Linked DNA regions of Kluyveromyces lactis. The protein of the gene in region 2 purifies or fractionates together with the protein of the main gene of each other region. This does not show direct contact. Links are inferred from orthologs where the notes say so. Each region holds a gene or a part of one and is shown on either strand. Other genes may lie near its edges.

Region 1 (11,600 bases), on a different chromosome or scaffold from region 2:
GTTAAGATTCCTTATCCTGAAAAAGACTCTTTCGGTACAGTGATACCAAGAACTGTTATTGACACTATAAGATCATGTTTGGAAAGAAATCCCATATCTCGTGTTACAATTGACCAGCTATTAAGTGGTGCATTAATTAATCCTGTCACCGTAACAAAATTCTTCATACATGATTTGATAAAAAATGCAGTAAACTATGGTTGCGATCAAAAACATGTCAATAATGAGCGTGTGGAAGAATTATCTGAAGATGTTTGGAACAAACTAGCTGAATTTAAATTATAGATTAATCTATTGCACTGAGGGCAGTACTGGGATAAAGCACTTCTGACATGCCGTCTTTATGGCTTTTTTTCCTGCATTGAATAAAGAAGCAACATATGAATGCTGTGCTCCCATAAGAAGCCAGCAAATGAACCTATGGGTGCATTAATAAGTTTACCTACGTAATACAAATGTACTATTATATAAGAGTTTTAATCATTCATTTATCTTGGTCCAAACTTTGACATTGCAGCAGGACCTATTTCATGCCATTCTTGCTTCGATAACCACATGTGGTCTTTATCGGCCATAATGTTCGCTAAGACGGCACCACCAATGAACACCATATGCTTTCTTCTTGGTGGGTCCTCAATTCTGACCTTGAATTTATCCAAACGTGTGGGATCATTGCGTAGAACCCTTGTAAACCATAGTTGTTTTAGTTCTTTTTCCAACCTTGAAGGTAAACCTGGGTACATGGATGAACCACCAGACAAGACGATAGCTTTATAAAGTGATGTTCTGATATCCACATCTGCTGCTTGTATTGTGTTGAATAAAAGTTCACCCACACCTGGTTGTTCGACATCAACTAAACTTGGTTGGAATAAACACTCTGGTGCCTCGAATCTTTCCGGTCCAACCTTGATGACTCTCCCATCGGGTAATTCATAAGATTCCACTAGAGTAGTCGTCTCTCTTGCTAATTTTGTGTCCAAGTCTAGATCATAAGATACATAACAAAGCTTTTCTTTAATTTGACGAACAGTTTCGAAATCGGCAGTTCTGTTGAATGCATAACCGCGGCGAGACAAAAGGTCAATTAAGTGTCTGGTTACATCTCTCCCAGCAACGTCTAACCTTCTTGTCAAATGATTCAAAACAACGGATTCATAAACAGGAACAATGTGAGTAACACCATCACCGGAATCAACAACGACACCCGACGACAAACCTTGAGCATATAGAGCTAGAACGGCTTGAATTGCAACGTATGTGCCACCAAAATCATACTTCTCGAACATAACTTCACACATTTGTTCTCTGTTTTTAATGGGGTTCATTGGTGGTTCGGTAAGTAGTACCTTACCGCCGGATGTAGTTGGCAATTTCATCTGCTCAAAGAAAGCATAATCCCATAGTAATTCCATATCTGCCCAGTTTCTGATGATACCATTTTCCATTGGGTACGAAATCTGTAAATATGAACGAACTTCACTTGCTTCATCACCAATCATGATATCTTTCAATGGGGTAGAAGCATGACCTCTTTCTTCAGCTCTAAGAATCGGTCTACCTACGATGGATGGGAAGGTGTAATCTGGGAAGTTCTCACCAGCACGGCCAATTTTCACGAAACCAGTACCCTGATCAAGAACAATTGGAGTATGTGGGTCCATTTTCGCTTTATTAATGGGTTGAAGATGCTCACAAATGTCCGTTTGATTTAATTACCCCAGTTCCACTATTAAATCTGATGAAATAAACCTTTATTTCCTCTCTTTCTTTAAGAACATCTCCTATTTCCCAATGTTGTTGATGTCGTTTTTCACGTAAATCATGTGATCATGTTTGTCCATATAGAATTTATCCAGGAGGTATAAAGCTATTGGCACGTCACAAGATAGCCGCTAAATCGTTGGATTTACATGTAAAGCATGTTTTCATATGGTTCAAATGAATCTTATAGTTTGCTTGGATATGTGTTATATGATCTTTTTTATTTCATTGATGAATATGTATAAATTGTGACGGTTTGTGTCAACTTAAATAGATTTTGTGAAGTGATGATTCTTAATAATGTCATGTCAGTACCTAGGTGAGGGCGTTAGTTCTTTTAATCACTTTCGTACGTGTATTCTTTACTGCCGTCCTTTTTTCGTTTTACACTATATTGTGCATTTGCTCCAGTTTCTCCGACGTCTGTAATGAAGCAACATTTCGAAAATGGGCTGAGAGCACGTACATAGATGACCATCGGGGATAACTTAGAATCATCAATGTAGTCACCAGTGAACATCAACAATTCGTCCCCTGGGTTTGCCTTTGTAACGATGTAAACCAATGCAACTGGTTTACGGACTCCCTCAGAACCCATGTTCAATAGCATAAATGAAAAAGCTTGGATGTTTTCGTTATTTCTGACGCTGGAAACAAAAGAGTACGAGTTTGTTACTAACTCCATGTGTCCTGGAACATAAGCTGTATCACTTCCTAAAACTATGGATTTGATGTTGTGTTCGTTTTTATAGAAACTCTCATCTAATCTCGATTTCACAAAGGAAAGAAATCTGTCTGCGTTGGGAAATTCTCCCGATTGAAACTTATCTGTAAATGCTTGAGAGAGCTTGAAGGGGAATCCGCTGAAGTCCTTTAGCTGGGTAAATGACTTGAATTTTGGGACCATTTGCTTCATTATCAATTCTCTCCTTGTGGTGGATGAAAGCTTCATCTTAGTTTGATTGAAAGCATGATCCAAAAGCTGCATAAGTTTCCTGGTTCTAAAAGCTTTGAATTGATACCACCCTATTCCAAATATCACCATCGGGAAAAGCAAAGCAAGTAAGAAAGGCAAAACAAATACTATCATTGTTATGAATCCAGCGAACAGTAACGTGGAAAGAATAAAGGAAAAAGGGCTGATTGAAAAGATAAATCTGGGATTGTTAAAGGGACTTTTTCTGAAAGGATCCCGTCCACCAAGTACCATGTTTCTCGGCGTAGAATGGAAATTTCGAAGCGCCATCTTCACAGGAGAGACCAAAATATTCTGGTTATAATGTAAAAGATTCATCCGGGGATTCAAAGCTGCCAGGAGTGGGAACCGTGGCACCAAATTCACAAACTGACCCGTCTTGACACATCCATGACTAGCAGGACTGTATGCTTTTAACTTTGTCAAGGATTGAAATGGTCGCAGCCCAATCTGTGATTTAACGCACAATTGAAATCGATTTAGGGGAAGCATCTCACAGAAGAATATCACAATGTCTGATGTGCGGAATTGTATTTTCTCAGATTTATACCAATAAGCGATTACTTCTGGTAATGCAAAATGTCTTCATAGTCTTGAAATCTATGAAGCTTCTTAATTTACAAAGGAATTTTATAGGAATTTCAAAGGCCAAATTGTCTATATCATCGCAAACCCCATACTAAGATCGCAGGATGACTTATAATCTGCTTTCTGTTCCTTTAAACTTTTGGAATATTATTACTACATTGTTTAAATAGGAAAAACATGAATAATATATACATATCCGGGTAAACTTTTGTAAACCAATTCGTTGCACATTAATATGAAGACACCATTATAGGGACAAGTCATCCCACTCAGTGGACTAATATCTTATCTCGTATGCTCCTGAATGTGAGATATATTTAATCCATTTCACCGGTTGATAATTCAATTGTGGTTCTTGACATTTCAAGTGTCTCACCACAAGTCCGGAATTACTAAACATTACAATTTCGAAGCCCATTGATATTGGCGGTCTTGACCATCTTAACAAATCAGATAGATCGTGGGAAGTAGCAGGGATTGCCACCTTACCGCTCAGAGTATTTTCTGTAGATCCTTTGTATTTGTTGTATTTCCATACCATGCATTTTTCTCCGGCATCGTACTTACATTTTCCTCCAGAGACGTTAAAATCGCATTTAATCGTGGTTGGGGGCACAGGTATTTTAACTGTTACATCTTTGGCAGAGACATTGGATGGGAAAAGTGATCTTAACGTTACCTTGTAATTGAGTGTAGAGTTCTTCACGATTTCTACCTCCGGTATGACGTTGAATGGGATATTAATGTTATCAATGACACGGTATTGCATCAATTGGAATGGCCCGTCAGGAGGAACGAATTGAATAACGTGGTTGGCCTCGTACTTATTAAGTTGGACACATTGATGGAATTTACAATCTTCTAATATTACAGAGCCTGCAGCCGCATTCGGTATAGCTTTCTTATTCTTAATATCGTACTCGGACATCATTTCAACAATGGACAATTCTGACTTTTCGTTTCCATGAATCGAATATGTGTCATTCAACCCTAGTTGGCATAGAGGCATACCTGATAGATGTGATACACAATCCACGGATCCATCAACAAATGATTTCACAATTGACCCATCTTTACCTACCAATATTGTGATCTTTTCGTTGATATCCAAATATACCTCATTCTTCTTGTATTTCAACCCACTTGGCCTCCAAGGGCATTCAGATAATGAAGACAAGGCAATTGAACTTGAGGACCGCTTTGAAAGCTTTGGAGCCTTTAGAATGTTAGATCCGGATAAGAAATCATCCAAATCGGGAGATTTGCTAATTGTGTTATTCTCTATTGGTTTTCGTGATACTCTTGGTATTATTTGAGCTAAGTCCGTTGTTTGTGGGATGCCGTTCTCCAACGTCAGTTCTAAAATCTCATACAATAACATAAATTCATCCTTTAACACGTCTTCATCGTTAATTCCGAATGCTTCCATTAATTGGTACAACTTGTGTAGGTATTCCCAGATCATTGAACTATCCACATTCGATCTGGATACTGCTACAAGCCACATAGGCAAGTTGTCGCTACTTTCTCTGATAACATGTTGAAATGTCGTTGAGCCCAATGTCAATATAGGAGACCTCACATGTGGATCATTGATGACTTGGGTTCTAAACACATCTGCCAGTGATCTTTTAACATGGTCTTTGATCAATTTACTGATCAACAAATCACCCTTTGCATTGTATATAAATATAGCACTAAGCATGCTGCGTGTTGGTCAACGATAATTTTTATACTGTAGGTTACGAACACCACCGTTTCAGTTTTGCACTGCCCTGTGTACCTCAAGTGCCTGAAGTTACAGTTTAAGGAACCTTTACTGAAATATACGCTACATAGTTCAAAATTATTGTTGTGCTATTTATCAAACCTTTGCAAAATAAAGCAAAAGCTGAGAAAAAGAACAAGAACGTTGACGAGATGTTATTATTATATAGGCAACTCACTGATGGATTGGTTTGTGCAATGATAGATTATTGGAACAGAAATTGTATCTTATTCATTCCCTTGCTTTTGCCCCAACTCATTGTGTCTAAGCTGTATATATTTACTATTGGAAAGCATATAATGTCAAGGGAATTATAACAGATCTGAACAAAAAGGTCTTACGCAATACCTAAGAGTAGGCCATTATGAATAAACATGATATATCCATGGCACTACTGACAATGCGGCTCTTCTGGATGAAACACGGGCCTTTTCAGGTAATTCTTCTTTTTTGAAGATTCTCTGCAATGTGCTTTACTATCAGTAGGTCCGAAAATTTTTATAACAATTTGACAGAGATAACGAGATCGATCGGTACAATGATCATACAGATACGATCATAAGAGGTGAATTGAACGCTGAACCTGTATTGTACTTCATCCAGAAAACTACTGTTTAATAAAGCCCTGTAAGTCTTGTCGAAAGAAATGAATAACATCGTCGTTTTTGCTGGTAGTTCCCATCTCGATTTAGTGAATAAGATTTGTGAGAATCTAGGTATTGAAAGGTCGCAAGTGAAGCTAGGTAAGTTTTCAAATGGTGAGACCTCCATTAGTATCGAAGAATCTGTTAGAGAGAAAGATGTTTATGTGATTCAAAGTGGATGTGGCCATGTTAATGATAACTTTATGGAGCTATTGATTCTCATCAATGCCTGTAAAACAGCTGATGCATCCAGAGTCACTGCTGTGATGCCATACTTCTCGTATTCAAGACAGCCTGATATCCCATACACAGCTAAGGGTGCTCCATTAATATCAAAGCCTAAGGAAAAATATACTTTTGAGTCACATCCAGGAACCCCTATCCCTCAATCCATGCTAACAGTAGAGAAGCCCATGTCCCCAAATTCAAGTAGGCTAGATGCCGCAAGCTCAGCTTCTTCATCAGGTCCTCAGTCTCTACAAAGTCCCACTCCTTTGCGTCCAGTAGAGTTGAGACCCACCTCATCTACTTCTTCGCGTATCCCCATGATTCCAAACGGGAAGGCTGAACATCCATCTGAGCAGGAGCAAGATTCAAATGCAGACGCCCTCTTTAACGCAAGCAATTCTAGTTATAAGCTATGGGTAGCCCAAGCAGGTACTTTGATCGCTAATTTGCTAACTACGTCCGGAGCAGATCATGTCATCACTATGGATTTACATGATTCTCAATTCCAAGGATTCTTTGACATTCCTGTTGATAACCTATACTGTAAACCTATCACTCAGGCTTATATTCAACATCATATTCCTAACTATCAGGATTGTGTCGTTGTTTCTCCAGATGCTGGGGGTGCTAAGCGTGCTGCAAAAATCGCCGATGTCTTAGAACTTTCTTTTGCTATGATTCACAAGGAAAGAAGGTCACAGCTTTTGAAAGGTCCACCTGGCGCCACCTTAACATCAGGTGGTGGCGTTCCAGTATCGACCAAACCTTTAATTGAGTCACTGGATATTAGGACAAGTCTCTCCAATAATGGAAACAATAAATACGTGAACACTACTATGTTGGTCGGTGATGTCAGAAACAAAGAATGTATTATTGTTGACGATTTGGTTGACACCTCATACACCATTACTAGAGCAGCAAAACTCTTGAAGGACCAAGGAGCCACTAAAATATATGCTTTGATTACACATGGTATTTTCTCAGGAGATGCTCTAAACCGAATTGGACAGAGTGTTATTGATAAGATAATTGTCACAAACTCTATTCCACAGGACGAAACAATTAAGGTACTAGGTGCTGATAGAGTTGAGGTTCTAGATGTCTCTAATATTTTCGCCGAAGCCATCAGAAGAATTCATAACGGAGAATCGATAAGTATTCTTTTTGAACATGGATGGTAGTAATCGTACCGAATTTGTGATTCTGCTTTTAAGGTTGTTTTATGTAATAAAAATATAAATGTATATACACACACAAATGTATCAATTTCAAGTTGGTCTCACTCTATTGTTCTATTGGGCCGTGCAATGGTGTAATGTCAATAGCTTGTAAAATTCATTCTTACATTGGAAGAGTTTCTTTGGATGATGATGGTTTCCCCAGATTTCTTGGTCTTCATGCATTAGGCCGAATTTGAAAAGAATATGCACGACAAATGCTACATTGCCCTTTATTTGGGAAATAAGTTCTAAAGTCTCCAAGCTATTGCGAGAGTGCATGATGTTGTACCAAATGCTTGGGTATGATTATGAATGAATGTTAAGATTGTTTATGGTTATGATATGGTTCATGATGCTGAGATATAGGTGCAAAGTTTTATCACTCTTGTGTCGTATTGTGATTTAATTCTGCTGCTCTCCGTTCGTTAGCCTCCTTTTCTCTCTTCTCAGTAAGCTCTTTTAATTCGTCTTCCGTAATTAAATGATGCTTGTGGTTAGTTGGTGGATTGATCAATTTTCCATCGTTGTCAACTTCGCAACAATGTATATTTTGGAACCACGGGTCCGCTAAAACTTCCGGCATTAAGATTCTCTTGTGAGGACTTAGTTCTAGCATTCTACCAATCAATGGTCTTGAATGACGTGGAAGTAACTTCAAAATCTTGTATGGACCCTTAGTGTGATCGTTCTCATCATCTGGATTTTGAGCAAACAATTTGAATGACACGACCTCTTCGCTTGGTTTTTTCCATGGAAATCTTCTTAATGTCATGCAATAGAACATTACTGCAATGGACCAAACATCTACGGGTCTCGGATCATAGTATTGACTTACCAAAAGCTCTGGAGCTAAGTATGGGTCGCTACCAACAATGCCTTTCGCTTTCACTATTTTATCCTCGTATTTGTAATGGAAAATGGTAGCGCTACCAAAGTCAATCAACTTCAAGATACCTTGAGCATTAACAACACAGTTGTCTAACTTCAAATCTCTATGAGCCAATCCTTGAGAATGTAGATATGCAACTCCATTACAGATTTGTTTGAAATAGCATGCGATTTCATGCTTTCCCATTAGATCACTCATAACCAATGTGAAGAAATCATACTGACAATATTCCATTACTACCAAAAAATGCTCTCCCTCTTGTAGCATATCCAAGGTTTCGATAACGTTCTGATGATGCAAAAACGATCCTACACAAAATTCAGACGTAACTTTTTTAGAATAATCCAACAAGGTCTCTCTAGCAGCTCTTGGTCTGAATTTTTTCACTGCAAACAAAGTGTTATCCGAACCTTTTACAACACTTACAGATCCAGAAACACCTTCGCCGAGAAGTTTCCCCGGAATACCATACTTCTGTATCAATTCATGGGCGTCTTCTGCGTCGTATAAAGTCAATTTTGTAGTTTTACGGTCTGTAACGACTGCGGTTGCTGTCGGTTGTTTTTGTTCTACATGTTTTTGCTCTCCGGATTGTTCGTGGAGCTTAAAGAACCGTTTCAAACGGAGTGATTTCTTGTGATGGGGTTTTGGATGGGAATTATCGGCCGATGATAATTTAGGGGGTGGTTGCAGCTTAAATTGTTCGATTTGTCTCTGAAGATACTCTGCAGGATGCTGGTTCGGCTGAGGTGAGGTATCCAATGTTACAGTTGAATGCTGTACCTTTAATGATGGTTTGTTATGTTCATGTGACGTATGATTGTGCAATAATGGATGTGATTGTGTATTTGAAAGGCCTGATACAGAGTTGGAATGTGAATTCTGTGTAACCGGTGAGCTTGATACTGAATTGGAATTTGAAAAGCTTCTTTGCTTGTTATCCTTCGGATGAGGTGTTCGCGTCTGCGAACTGCCATTAGCCTGATAATTGTTCGGATTATGCAAGTGATTTGTATGCTTTAAAGTCTGAAGTCCTGGTGGAAGATCGCCGGAAATTTGTGGAGAAACCCGGGTATCAGTATTGTGGCTGCCTTCACTGCCACTATCATTTCCGTTGCTTCCGTTACCGTTAGCATTGCGGAAGAATCGTCCAAGTGCTAGCCTTGATTTATTCTTGATGGAGCTCTTGGAAAAGAACGTACCTGCAGAACTTGCAGATTTTACGGATTGAATCTCGTGACTGGACTCCGCACTCAACTGATTGTCAGGCATCCTCGTTACACACTACGTCCCCTTGGTAGACTCGGTCTCTATCAGTGCATTACTGTGACTAATTCTGCTAATGTGTATTAATAACTTGGCTCGATTTAACTTTAATTGTCTTTATATTGTTTATTTATTAGAAAATCCTTATTTAACCATTTTGAACGAAATTGTCATACCGTGGAAGAAAGAGAGTGGAAATGGAATTAAGACGGAAACACAAAATATACGAGAGAATGAGCACAAGAAAGCATGTGCGATGATGGAACGGATCTATGCAACGATACAGCTGAAGAATATGAGTGCTAATCGGATGTAATTAGTATAGCTTTGAGCTTAAAACTGAAAGATATGCATATCATAGTCTATCTAATGTTTGTCGAAAGACTATATGTGAACTTTTAGCAACTCCGAAGTTAACTTATCGAAATGTCTTCATGCTTGTGAGTGCGCATTTATAGATGTATGTAGGTGTTGTGATGAGGAAAGTTGTGAATAAATTAATCTTTGGATCTGGATTCGAGGTTGAAGCTTTCTTGAGATTTTGACAGCTGTTTAGCGTTTGAATCTTGGTCATTTTGTGAAGATTTGCTTGACCAAAGACTGAATCTGGATCCACGTCTTGACGAAGGGGATCGCGGATGAGCGTGAGTGTTCGTAGTATTCGAGTCTATACTTGATGATTCATTGTGTTCTTCTGCAATGTTCTCTGTTTCGTTGATGGTTACCTTTTTGGAGTCATCCCAATCCGACGCAGGTTCTATGATTGTCTTAGAAACACCTTTGACTGTAATTATCGATTCGACGATCCCGTTTCTAGTGGACTTATAACTTGAAGAAATCACGGTTTGATGGTCTTTGTCGTTTTGAGCTGGAATAGTCGTTATCAGCTTGTCATTGGATTTGTTCGAGGTCGGACGTGGTTGTTGTTGTTGCACCATAGCGCTATTGCTTCGTCTGCTTGAATTAGATCTATGACGATGGTTATGATGGGATACATACTTCCTTTTTTCATCGGTTGTAGGAGCGCTTCCCACGGGTGAAATGGCGTCAGGTTCACGTCTTATAGGGGAGGTTGTTTCAATCACACTTGTTGCAGGAGAAATTGGCTCAGAAGAAAGCCGTGGAGGAGTCCTGGACATCCCGCCATAACTTTGCCTTTTTATGGTCACGAAAGGTTTCTTTATATCTAAAGGGTTCGCGGCTGGGTTTGCGGGCTGAAAATTCGTTGCGCCTACTGACAGGTAGTTTGTGGTTTCATTTTTGCCGGACGCCTCACTGCTTTCCGCATTTTCATTCACAAGCGGTTGAGTTTCTGATGGTTTTCTAGTGTACAATGAATGCAAATAGGAAGTGATGTGCCTCTTTGATAGTGGTCCTGGTTGATCTCTCATGATCCGTTGATGGATATCGACGAAAACGTCAGATTCATCCACGATTTCTTCACCAATCAATTCTTCAATGACATCTTCCAAAGTGACAAGTCCAATGGCACCAGAACTAGAACCTGGATCCCTAGACACTACGCACATATGAGATTTTCCCTCTTGGAAGTAATTTAGAATATTTAGACAAGACGTTTGTGGAGCTGTTTCAGGCAATGTAGCCAGAGGGAAATGGGATACAGGTAGGCAATCGTCGGGATCGTATGAAATCAACACACGGACTAAAAGCATCCCAATGTAATTGGTAGGTTGACCTGGTAGATAAATAGGAATTCTAGAGAACCCAGAGTTGAAAATATCTTCTACTGTTTTTTCATCCAAGATCTTATCTGCGGATAAAGTGAAAACAGCATCAATTGGGGTCATAATTTCAGAAACTTTTTTCTCTTTCAAATCTAACACAGCTGATATGATGGTAACTTCATCTAGGGTCAACCTTTCCATCCCCATGGTTCTGTGTAAATGCACCAAGGTCTTCAAACCAGATTTCTTATAGATGGTACCGTGGTCTTCACCAAGTAACCAATCTAATAACAAAGCGATAGGGTAAGCGATAGGGTACATTGCATACATGAGGAACAAAACAAATGGCGAAAACAAGGACCCTACTTGCAAACCAAAACGTACACAGACAGATTGTGGGATAATTTCACCAAAAATGACAATCAGAACAGTACTCATCACAACGGCTTGCCATCCGCCGCCAAGACATCTATCCAAGACAATAGGTAAAGTTTCATTGGTGATGACGTTGGACAAGAGTAATGTCACTAACACCCAATGTTTACCCCTGTTCAACAAGCTGAGAACCCTAT
Region 2 (11,953 bases):
TTTTATTTTGTCACAATCTGAGATGCACTAAACAAGCAGATAATGATTAGGAGATGAGATTTATACAATTGTAGGGAAAGCGGTATCCAGCCAACCCAGGGGGAGTACATTGTAAATAGATGTAAAGGATGTGAGTGCCTTTTTTTTAGTAACCATTCAATGTTATATACAATTTGAGTCAATGTTTAAAAGTCGTTCTTGTGATATTTTCTTCTTGGAACTACCGAGAAAATGATTAGCGGGTTAAATTCATTTGATATTTACATTGATTGGTTTGGACTCACACCCAGGGCAGTTGTGTAACGTTTCATGAATGAATACATCACAATCTATACAAAAATCTTGATCACACTCTTCACATCTGTACCTGCTGCTTGTTAATAGTTCGCCTGTTTTGTTATTTCTTAAGGTGGGGAATCGCTTTTGGCAGCCGAAGCAATAGTCTGTAGGGAAGCTATCTGACACTGGGACTTCTTGGAAAGTCTTAAGAGGCATCAAATGATGATACGATCTTGCTAAATGTGTTGAGAGTATCAACATCAAATCACAACTCGGACATACTGTCGGTAGAGAGCAAACCTTAGTTTTGCAATTGGGACAGACGTAACCACCATGGACTAGAGTCGAATGGCAAGCACAAAATGATGGTGTGTCCTCAAATACTCTGGTAGGGAATCCCATCTTAACCAAGGTGAACCCTTTGTTCACTTTGCTCACCGGTAACGGTGTCACTGCACTTGTGAATAGTTCCTTAAAATGATGATCGTTCAATATAATCCCATAATATGAGTTATCTCCATAATTCGTCTGCTTACACAACTCTTTGCAAACGGAGACTTGAGCAGATAGACCAATAACTTTTGCTCTAATATTCTCATGTACCAATGAGCCAATCGTTTGATGAATATCACCTGGATCTGTAGTTGATAATGCACCGAAAACGATGAGTACTTCTCTAGTACAATGCGCTGGAACATGAAGTAAGAGACCTCTAGCCATCTCTAAAGCATTTTGTAAAGAAGCGTTCCCCTTTGGTTCTTGCCTACGAAGCATCTTTAAAGCATCGATATGTTCTTGAGGGTTACCACTGACCTGCGATATTAGCTGAGCTAAACCATCACGCATAACAACTACACCAATTTGAGAAATAGGATTTTGATCAAAATACTCATGAATAAAGTCTACAGCATATTGTACTGTCATTGCATATCTATTAGGTCGCAAATCTTTTTCCATCATTGCTTCGCTACAATCCAATACCAAGATAAGGGTTCTGATAATACCTCTTTGATACGGAGTAACCGTCTTCTCTGCTGCCCTTTTTTTTCTTGCTTCAACTATGCTTGCCACAATAGCAGCGATATTGCCTTCATCATCAACTTTGACAAGGTCCCAACTTCTTTGAATGTCATCTTCCCAGGCATAACCACCATTGACACCTTGTAAGTTCTTGTTGGACAGCTTCTTCTTCTTTTTCTTCTTCATTTTTCTTGGATCACGACTTCTCTTTGATAGTTGTGAATGAACTCGTTCATCCTCTTCATCATCACTAGAATTCCCATTGCCTGCACCATCCGAATCTGCAGTTTCTTTTGTTCTAACATGCTTCTTCACTTTGTTTTTCAGCACTTTGGTCTGACCATCTTGTCTATGTCTCTTGTTAGTGATTCCAATGATCCGTTCATCGTCTGATTCACTATCTATAATAGGAGGCATTATCGTAATCAAAAACGATTAATAAAATTTGACCAGAGTACAGCCAAATGTAGTCCAATTAAAAAATCGACTAATGCCTGGAGCTCTACGTCTATTCAGCCAAATTGGTGTAGCGTTACTCTTTAACCTTCAAATCTTGCTTCACTTGTTATAAATTCACTAAATTTTCTTACATGATTTTGATCATGTGATCATATGATCAAAAAGTTTCAACACAAAATAGCGAGGGTTGTATGTAAAACCTAATAATCACTGATTTTATTTAACGAACTACACCATTATACTTGAATCTTAAACGCTGAATTCTTGTGGTGGACACTCTTTATCTGAATCCCAGTCCAATGGTTTTTCACTCATGTAGTATTCGATGGTACCACCGTGTTCGAATAGCTCGGAATGTCTAAACCAGTTCTTATCGAGTTCTTTGTCATTGATAACAACTTTCTCAATGAAGTTGTTTCTGACACCAAATTCTGAATATAAGTTATGTGCAAAAATTTCAATATCTGGAACGTTAGGCATGCTTTTAAGTTTCAAATAATTAACTTTCGGACTTGTTAATAAATAAATATCAGTACCAGCCACGGGATAAAAACCTAGAAGGGCAAAGGTTAGCCACGCTTGCATGGCTCCTGCATCAGAATTCCCTGGCAAACCACGCGGTCCCGTCTTAAACTTTGTATTTATGATCCAATCCACTAATGCTGACGTTTTATCTTGTCTGTTAATGTACGCGTAAAGATAAGGTGTCAAAAAACTTGGTTCATTGCCAATATCAACCACGTTCTCATGGCCACAGAACGCATACATATCATCTAAACGTTTTTCAAACATTGCTTTCGAACCAATGTATTCTAATAAAGTCTTCATATCAAAAGGCACCGTCCACCCATATTCCACGGGTTTTCCTTCATATTCATCGTCTCTCCAATAGCAACCAAAGCATGTAAACGGATCATATCTATGTTGAGCAAACGTACCGTCAGAATTCCTAGGTTGTACGAATCCGGTGTAGTCATAGTGTATATTCACACTTTTAGCATTTGGGTTCCAAATGTTACGCCAGTTTTTCGATCTTTCAAGGTATGTCTTTGCTAAATCTTTTTTACCGAGACCTTTGGCAACGATATAAAGGGCAAAATCGTTATACGAATACTCCATAGTTCTGGTGACACTTCTTGAGTAATTTCTTGTTATGTACCCCAATTCAAGCCATTCTTTTAAAGCGCCTCTCCCAAATTTGTTTGTCGAGTCGTTAGCCATAGGGTCCTCAATGTAAGGCGGCTCCACTTCTGCATTGGTATACATAGCTTGGAAGCCCTTCTCCCAATCGATCCCTTGATGAACGTTCTTAATGAAAGCATCCGCCAACATGATATCTGAGTTGCTACCCCCTTGTGTTCTTCCAGATCTGTCACCAGATCTGCCATCCGGCATGAAACCTTCAACCTCCCAGATATCAATTAAAGAACGTACCATTTCTGCACCATGGTCTTGTGATATGATATTAATCAAGGGGTGAAGACATCTGAACGTATCCCAAAGTGTGAACCAATCATCGTAATATGGCTCACCATTATCCCACGGTGCTTCTGCACCTGATTTATTGGTTGGCATCAAATGAGTACCATACAATGAATTGTATAGTTTACTTATGATCAAAGGGTCCTCTTCATTAACGTTCATCTCGAACTTCTTGAACAATTTATCATTCCAAGATTCTAGAGCAGACGCTACAGACCATGTCAAATCAAACTGTGAGTCTTCGGGATAATCGTCTAACAAATTCTGCGCAGCAACTTTGACACCTTCGTTCTTGTTGAAGCTGATTCCAACATGCGATTTCAACACGGTAGTATCCTCATCAAATTCAAATAATACACCAATATCAGATTCACCAGAGTAAGATTGCATTCTTCTGAGGAACGGTAGAGTCCTCCCATTCCTGAACGTAGCAACTTTACGTGCAGGCTTGTCAAACTTCCCAAAGAAGCTAACGGTCCATTCACCGGGATCAGTCCAACCTCCATTTATCGTCACTTTACCTTGATAAGACTTCAAATCTGAAGAGACTTTGATTTGGCCCGATCTAAAATTCTGAGTCCACCACGGACGGCCAAAAGAATGCAAATGCTGAGACACGTTCACCATGATAATTGGTTTCCCGTTGTCTTTCAGTTCGGGGAAAGTATATTCATACAACCCAGACCTATCCTTAGATGAAAATTCTATATCAACACCGTTATCGAGTTCTACTTTATAATAGCCAATGTGCGCAACGTCAGGCGATTTCCTCTTGAAAGAAATTTGCCTCGTTACATCAACTGAACTTGCACTCGAAGCTATCATTGGAAGCTGCGAAACAACCCCATAAGTGGGAGCACCACCGGTACCAGATTCATGCAATAACGAAACTCCAACAACCTCACCATCGGGTTGAAACCCAGAGTACGCGTCGCCCTTTTTCGAATTGATCACATCTACACCCATCTTACACATACCAAAGGGAACAGCAGTCCCGGAGAACATATGCCCACCCAGGGTACCATAGAATACGTCAACCCATTTCAAAAAACTATATTTACTGGTGAACTGGTCTCCGAATCTCGTTTCTGGTAACTGCAATCCATCCCAGTTGTTGTAAAACACCGCGAACTCTTCCTCTGAATTATCTGCTTCATAGTGAAATTGTGGCTTATTGCAAATACCATTTTTATGAAGATATAAAAACTCGTCCTCTAAAATCACAAAACAGAAGCTTATCGGTACCCATATCGCCAAGAACAATGTCAATTTCCACATCGTTCCTACTTGGCAGAAACTACGTTATTCACAGATATCCGTTTCTTGTGTGTCTTAAAATGTGCTCTTTCAAAAAGGACTAAATGCCAAGAAGCTAAGAGACAACAGATCTAGTATGTCCACTAAACCCTTTATGTTTTTTTTATAATCCTGCATTCTGTCGTTAACAATTTAATCTGACGCTTCTCTCGAGCCTCGTCGCGCACGTTTTTCCTTTTCTTTTTCTCTAGTTCTATTTTTATTCTGACACAATCACATTATCAGCTTATCTAAGATAGTAGGACCCTTTGCTAGTCACGTTACCTGCTTTAGCCAGATCAACGTAACCGCATCTTGCATTGAGCTACATACATGCATATTGCATGAAATGAGGTGAAATGAATGGAAAAAAGGTGCCAGATGGGCCAGATGGTCCTTTTCTCTTGCACTTGCCTGTTTCTGTTGGCAAGACTTTTTTTCAATTCTTTCAGTTCTTGTAGTTACCTTTAGTGGTTTAGGAATCGGAATGAATCTTTGGACGGATCGAGAAGTATAAAAGAACCTCATCGGATCGAAGTATGAATCGAATTACCTCCCTGGTAAATTTGAAGATATGTCCCCAATTTAAAAATAATAGAACGAAGTCAACAAGATAGGCAAACCAGAAAAGATGCCAGATAAAGAAGATCTCAGTGAGTCTGTTTATTCCGTAAGCGATGAGGAAGATGTAGCTAGAAAGTTCCTTCTAAGTTCCGCAGCGGCCGAGTTGAAGGACGATAAGAGCATCGAACAGGAAGATATTACAGAGAAGACAACTTTCTTTGGGAACCATGTGTTAGATAAGAAGGTGTTGAGAAAGCTTGACATATTTGTTTTGCCATTTTTATGCTGTACGTACCTATTGATGTTTTTGGACAAGGCATTGTTAAATTATGCCGCATCGATGGGGATCAAGGACAATTTGGTTGGTGATGAGTTTTCTAATTTGGGTACTATTTTCTCTGCATCGTATATCTTTGCAGAACCGTTTGCGGTGTATTTGCTCCAAAGGTTTCCCGTGTCTCGAGTGTTGGGCTCGTTCATCATATGTTGGGGTGTCGTTGTCGTTTGTCATTGTGTTTGTAAGACATATGCAAGTTTGATGATTGTACGTGTTCTATTAGGGTTGTTCGAGTCGTGTAGTGCTGTAGGATGCATTACAGTCAACGGTATGTATTATACGAAATCGGAACAAACGCAAAGAATTGGTTACTGGGCTGCTCAAGCAGGAACCGGTTATATCATTGGTGGTTTAATGTCATTTGGGTTTTTACATTACCACGGAACTGAATTTACCTCGTGGCAAATCATGTTCCTTGTTGTCGGTTTAGTGACCGTGGGATTCGGTATAGTAACCTATTTCTATTTACCAGATAACGTTCCTAAGGCATGGTTCCTTAACGAGAAGGAGAAAGTCCAAGTCATTGAACATATCAGATCAAACCAAACTGGTCTTGAAACAAAGAAAATCAAGATGCACCAAGTGAAAGAATTGTTACTCAAGGATAAATTGACATGGCCAATGTTATTATTGACTGGTTGTTCTCAAATTTCAACTGGATCCATTGGAACCTTTTCAGTGACCATCACAGGTACATTTGGTTTTGATAGCTACCAGACATCCCTTTTGCAACTTCCTATCGGATGCGTTACCATCATGATTATTCTAATCACAACCCAATTGATAGGAAGATTTTCCCAATTCACTTTAATCACGACATCTATGTACATTCCTGCAATCATTGGTTGCATTGTCATGATTTGTTTACCGTTAACAAATAAAATCGGTAACCTATTATCGTTGTACCTATTATACAGTGGTTCATGTACCATTACGAACATTTATATCTGGAATACTTGTAACACTTCTGGGTATACCAAAAGGCTAGCAAGAAACGGGTTAACTATGATTGTCTACAATATCGCATGTATCGTTGCACCACAAATGTTCCGTGCTTACTCATACCCAAGATACATTCCTGCCAAGATCGCATTGCTAGTTACTCAATGTGTTTGTGTTCCATTGCAACTGTACATTGGTTACACTTCTTACACAGAGAACAGAAGAAGAGACAAAGAACAAGCTGAGTCCGAAACTAAACCAGAACAGTATCAATTCTTAGATAAGACAGATATTGAGAACAGGAATTTCAGGTACATTTATTGAACCAAACAAATAATAACAATAATAATACTAATAACTAACATACGTTTTGATCTTAATGCCACATCTTTCCTGTTGAAAGTGTGCTATGTATGCTTAAGCAATTGTCTAATGCTTTTTTAACTGATATAATATGTTTTTGAACCTGTCGCAAATACGGGTAACATTTTTAACAGTTTTCTTTTTCCATCTAGTTGGAAAAGCCGTGAATCTTCAAGGTTAGAGAAAAAGTGTAAAATTGAAGCTCATCGCATGGAACTGATCATTTGATATTGGCTTCAACAGAGGTTCCTATGATTGAGTAGTGCCAACATTAAGAAATTTCTTTTCTAGTAAGTAGCACAGTTTAGTACCTTGCCAGTTTATCTGTGTTTCATAATGGTACACGCAGATGATTTAGATGATGGTCTAGTTTATGAGGTTAACGATGCCCAAGACGATGATGTGGTATCCGATGGTGAACTAGTCGAACTAGATAAGGACAATGATAGTAATACTGCAGATGAAGTTTCAGAGAATAAAAGAGCATTGGATACGGAAGATAATGGAAACACTTTATCCACTGAAGAGTCTGAAAAACCTTTAAGTAAAAGACAAAAGAAACTGGCTAATTCTTCTCTCCATCAAAAAAAACTAGAACGCATGGCGTATGAAAAAGCTCAAAAGGAGAACCTCCCTAAGGCATCAGTTGATAAAATTATTGAGTACTTAGCCACATCAATCCGTGACAAAAACCCTGATTTAAGTGCTTTAGAATTAGATGAGTTGTACTTTAAGAAACAGGACTTCTTATCGACGGAAAAATATGAAAAGGATCGCAGTTTGAATAATTTCCAAGATTTCATTCACACATTTTCAAAGTCACCTAGATCTATAATTCTTTCTCAATCCAACATCCGCGTTGCAGATGTATATAGAAGTGTTAACGGCCATCAAACAGCGGTAAAATTGTTCTCAAAGAATAAACTTAAAGATGATATAACTAAGGTGGAGGAACTGCTTGGATCTAAAAAGGAATCCAAACCAGAGAAGAAAAACAAGAAGTCCAATAAGAAGATGAAGGGTAAAAACTTTTCCTCAGAAACTGTAAAATATTTCATATCAACTCCAACACGTATTCAAAAAATCATAGAGAGCACCGATCTTTTCTTCCAAGGCAAAGAAAAATTAGATATATTCATTGATGCGAGTTACCTTGATCCAAAAAATAACACAATTTTCACATCAGATGATTCCGCTGTTCTCTATAAAGTACTCAAGGAGTTTTTGAAGAATAAATCTTCTGTAAAGATTTTACTGTTTTAAATATATTGATTGAATATATATATATATATGTTTAGTTTAAAGTTCGTGACATGCGTGGCTAGTTTTAATTTTGTTCATTGGAAAGGCTTCCGCATCGACAATTTTCTTGCGAGCATCGATGGCTTTCTTGCTAGTTTTGTCGCTGAAAGAGATATGCTGGATTTTCTTTTGTCTTTCAGTTGGTTTACTGTTTCAGCTGGTCTATCGAAATCTGTCATTTTCTTAATTGGAGAACTGGATCTCCGAGTAGTATCAGAACCGTGGAAACTTCCAGTAGAATTGTTACTGATAGAGTCATTAATTATAGACAAGGATGATTTTTCATGATTAAGTGCTGGACTTTCCGGCAACTTCTTAGGGCTTACACCCCGGAAAACTTGGGAAACAGGCTTCAAATATACCGATAAAATGCTACCAATGTTTAACTCCAACTCTTCTCTAACAATTGGATCCAATTTTGTGTTGATTTCAATGACAGGAAGTTCACCATCTATCATGTCCCGTACCACATCGTTGTTAAATAGTGGCTCAGAAGAGTTTCCTGCCAATGACAATAATCTCCAATACATATATGCATTATCTCTAAGATCGGGATTATCGTTAATTTCTGTGGCTCCTGACAATAATTTAAGACACAACTGTTCAGTTTCTTTTGATTGCGCTCTGCAGAAAAATTTCACTGCCGAGTTGAGAAGCAATAATTGAACTTCTAGACCTTCAGTATTGAAGTTATCAGAATATTTGCGGAATACACCTATTGGGTCTTCCAATTGATTTGAATGGTTGGTGACGATCCATATCATTGCACATTTCGATTCAGAATCTTGGATGGAATCAGAATATTGCGGTAAAAGTGGAACTACGAAGTCAAACTGATTAGGGTATTTCCTTAGAACATTTTTGAGCATGGAAACGACTTCCTGCACAATGTAATCGACGCCAAATTCTAGAAGTTCGAGCAAGACGTCAACACTATATCTTGCTGAATGTGGATACTTAACTGCCAAATTACCAATTGCTCTGATTGACTTTTTGGACATTTGGATATCGATATCTGTTGCTTGACCCTTTAATTCGTCAAGAATTTGAGAAGTGTTTTCTTCATTCGCTAAGAGATATAAAATCTCTAATTTTGTATCTTTGATATAAGTCGGGTCAGAATATTCAATGAAGAAGTTATTAGGTTCAAGGTGTATCAGTGGAGAGTCACGCGATAGTAAAAGTAAGATTACATTTCTCAATACCAGAAATTGAATTTCAGGAGGCTTATTCAATAAAGAAGTCAAGGAGCTTGAGAACTTTCTCACAAGCCTCTCTTCAATGTAATCAACGTAATTTGTTAGATAGATAATAAATTTTAGAGCATTGAGCACGACAGATGAATTCAAATTATGCAATTTCGGTACAGAAAGATCGATAAGATGGTGAGCTTCAGAATGCGTTTTTGGTAAGTATGCAGTAGTAAGTATATCGAATAGAATCGCAATATCCCATTCATTGATTTTTCCTAATACCTCTAAGAGATTGAAGCATATGTTCTGCGTTAGTTGGAGTGGGTTCATATCAGGATTGCTAACATGAATTTCATGAAGTACTGTGACAGCGGCAACCAATATTGTGGGTTCTTCTTTACCGTAGTCCAACATATCCATGAGAAAATAATATAGTTCTAAAACTTTCGTATGATCTAATTGATCCATTTTGATCAGAGAATGGATAGCTGCCTTCCTTAGTGGAATAGATATTTTTGAAGTTGTCATGATTAGCTTCTTCACATGCTGGAAGCCTTCTTGAATATACTCCGGTTCATCTATCGACGTTATTGTGCGCAATGATAAAATGCACAGCTCTTCAGAATTGGATAGAAGGTCTTGTAGGATAATTGGGAGAGCCATTCTTAACTGATCAGGCTTTGATGGAGTCAAAGTGCAAAAATATTGATGACACATTCGTTTTATCTCTAAATCATTTTCACTATTCCATATTTGTAGAACGTCAACGAATAATTGTGCCATTTCATGATAATTTCCCATGATCAAATTCGCTATAATCTTTCGAAGACATAGTTTCCTCTTCGAACTACCTCTGGCCTTACCAGAATCCGAAACCAACTCCCCTCTTATTTCATGTGCCTTATACTTGTAGAATATTTTGCTTTCCGACATAATTAATATCGTACTGACTGAAATGATATTAGAGTTTATATTTATAGTATCAACACAGCTCAATCCAGTTCGTGCAATATGGTTGTTTATGTAACAGTTGTCTCTTGAGGGAAATATAAGATAGTTTCATTATAAACCGTACTTTAATTTAGTGTTTGTTACTTTTGACATGTTCTTGAAATCAAACAAAAAGTCAGAGATTGGTGTTATTATTACCCGGACAAAGAATTTGTTCTAAATCCAAGGCTGGTTAATATGACATGGCTGCTTCAGTACCGTCCGAAACAGTTTGCTACCTCAATAATGTCATATTTACTAAGATATATGCTCAATACTAATATAGTTTCTTGTTAATGTTACATAGCATGATTTCTGGTCATAATTATTATACTTTTCCAAAACCTAAAAGATGTTGAATTAGTGATGCTATCGGTAGATTGTGGACTGTAATAGGTGGGAAGAATGTTGAAATATTCTTGCCGGAGAAAGACATCTGATGACCATTATAGTAAAACGCTAATGTATGATTGTTACAACTTGAGAAAACTCAAAGTAATTCAATTATTCCATGGTTTCATTCACGGACAACAGTCATTCGATTTTGTATATTTAGAATCATCGCATTCAAGTGTCGTTGAGACAGAAGAAACTCTCGGTACAGATCTAGTAGAAGTTGCTTGTGATTTTCTTGCCGTTACAATTTGAGGTCTCAAAAGTACATCATCAGTCATCCTTCTTTGTCCTTCAGTCCAGCCATCAAAATCGATTAATGCTTGCATACATCCCCATTCAGTTATTTTTTTGCTTAACCAGTCCAAATTGACTGGTTTGGTCAAATAATCATTACAGCCAGCTAATAGGGCCTCTGTTCTATCAATTTGTGAGTAAGATGCGGTAAGTGCAACGATTATAACAGGTGACCTAAACTTCGATTTGTCCAACACCATATTCTGCTGATTCGATTTCTCGACTTCATTTTGCTGATCACTTGTCTTTGCAGCAGTTGTACCTCCTTCTTCCTTAGAATTAGCATTTTTTTTCAGATTGGGCTTCTTAGAAACACTCTTTTGAGAGAAATTCCCAATATTGTTAATTCGTTCCAGTTCTCTTATTTTTTTTGTTGCTTCGAGCCCTGATAGCAGGGGCAATTGCAAATCCATAAGGATAAGATGACTATCGCCTTCTTTCCACTTTTCTATTGCTTCCACTCCGTCTTTGGCAACTTTGTAAGAAATTCCGTTCTTTCTTAAAAATAATGCTAGAATGGCTTGGTTTATAGCGTTATCTTCTACAATAAGCACGTTGATACGAGGAAACACTTTATATTTTGGAAGGTTGCCTTGCTTATCTAATGAGGGTGTGGTCCTTCTGGATAGTGGACGAGGTAATTCTGGAGACGATATTGTCTTTGTTAATGATATACCCACTTCCTCTTCTGTTAATGGTTTCTGGGCTGTCAACGCGTAACTCTCTGGATGTGGCGGTGAAGTTTCAATATTATCCAAGGAAATATTCGCTTCCTCATACGGAGAATCATTGCTACCTTCAATATCCTCAGGGGATACACCTTTTGGTAATAGTAGTATTCCAGTGTTATTACGCGAGCTTGAGAAACTTCCAAAAAGACTTGGCCGTCTTTGATCGGGTCTTTCAACAACAGAATCGATTTCAGTTCCCTGGCTAATATCTGAGAGTAGGATCTCTTTTTCCTGTCCTATAGCGTCCTTGGTGAATATACGTATTGGATCTAAAAGTTCAGCAGGAGTCAATACTTCAGGAGAGG

Evidence for each region.
Region 1: the proteins of APL1 (region 2) and APM4 purify together in Saccharomyces cerevisiae (affinity purification with mass spectrometry; 4 studies listed by BioGRID, with this or other methods). This does not show direct contact. The link is inferred for Kluyveromyces lactis from reciprocal best matches to the Saccharomyces cerevisiae genes APL1 and APM4.

Annotation. Positions count from the first base shown.
Region 1 is NC_006039.1:351,284-362,883, forward strand, and holds APM4 (Apm4p), read right to left. Parts: upstream 5,034-11,600; coding exon 3,606-5,033; downstream 1-3,605. Other genes in the region: serine/threonine/tyrosine protein kinase MPS1, read left to right, coding at 1-285; ARP2 (actin-related protein 2), read right to left, coding at 489-1,664; MRX9 (Mrx9p), read right to left, coding at 2,102-3,232; ribose phosphate diphosphokinase subunit PRS5, read left to right, coding at 5,743-7,149; putative serine/threonine protein kinase RTK1, read right to left, coding at 7,568-9,349; MAM3 (Mam3p), read right to left, coding at 9,841-11,600. UniProt on the Saccharomyces cerevisiae protein: Component of the adaptor complexes which link clathrin to receptors in coated vesicles. Clathrin-associated protein complexes are believed to interact with the cytoplasmic tails of membrane proteins, leading to their selection and concentration.
Region 2 is NC_006041.1:841,350-853,302, reverse strand, and holds APL1 (Apl1p), read right to left. Parts: upstream 10,171-11,953; coding exon 8,080-10,170; downstream 1-8,079. Other genes in the region: TFIIH/NER complex subunit SSL1, read right to left, coding at 250-1,716; KLLA0_E09593g (uncharacterized protein), read right to left, coding at 2,008-4,518; THI73 (Thi73p), read left to right, coding at 5,168-6,703; CMS1 (Cms1p), read left to right, coding at 7,079-8,005; mitogen-activated protein kinase kinase kinase SSK1, read right to left, coding at 10,749-11,953. UniProt on the Saccharomyces cerevisiae protein: Adaptins are components of the adaptor complexes which link clathrin to receptors in coated vesicles. Clathrin-associated protein complexes are believed to interact with the cytoplasmic tails of membrane proteins, leading to their selection and concentration.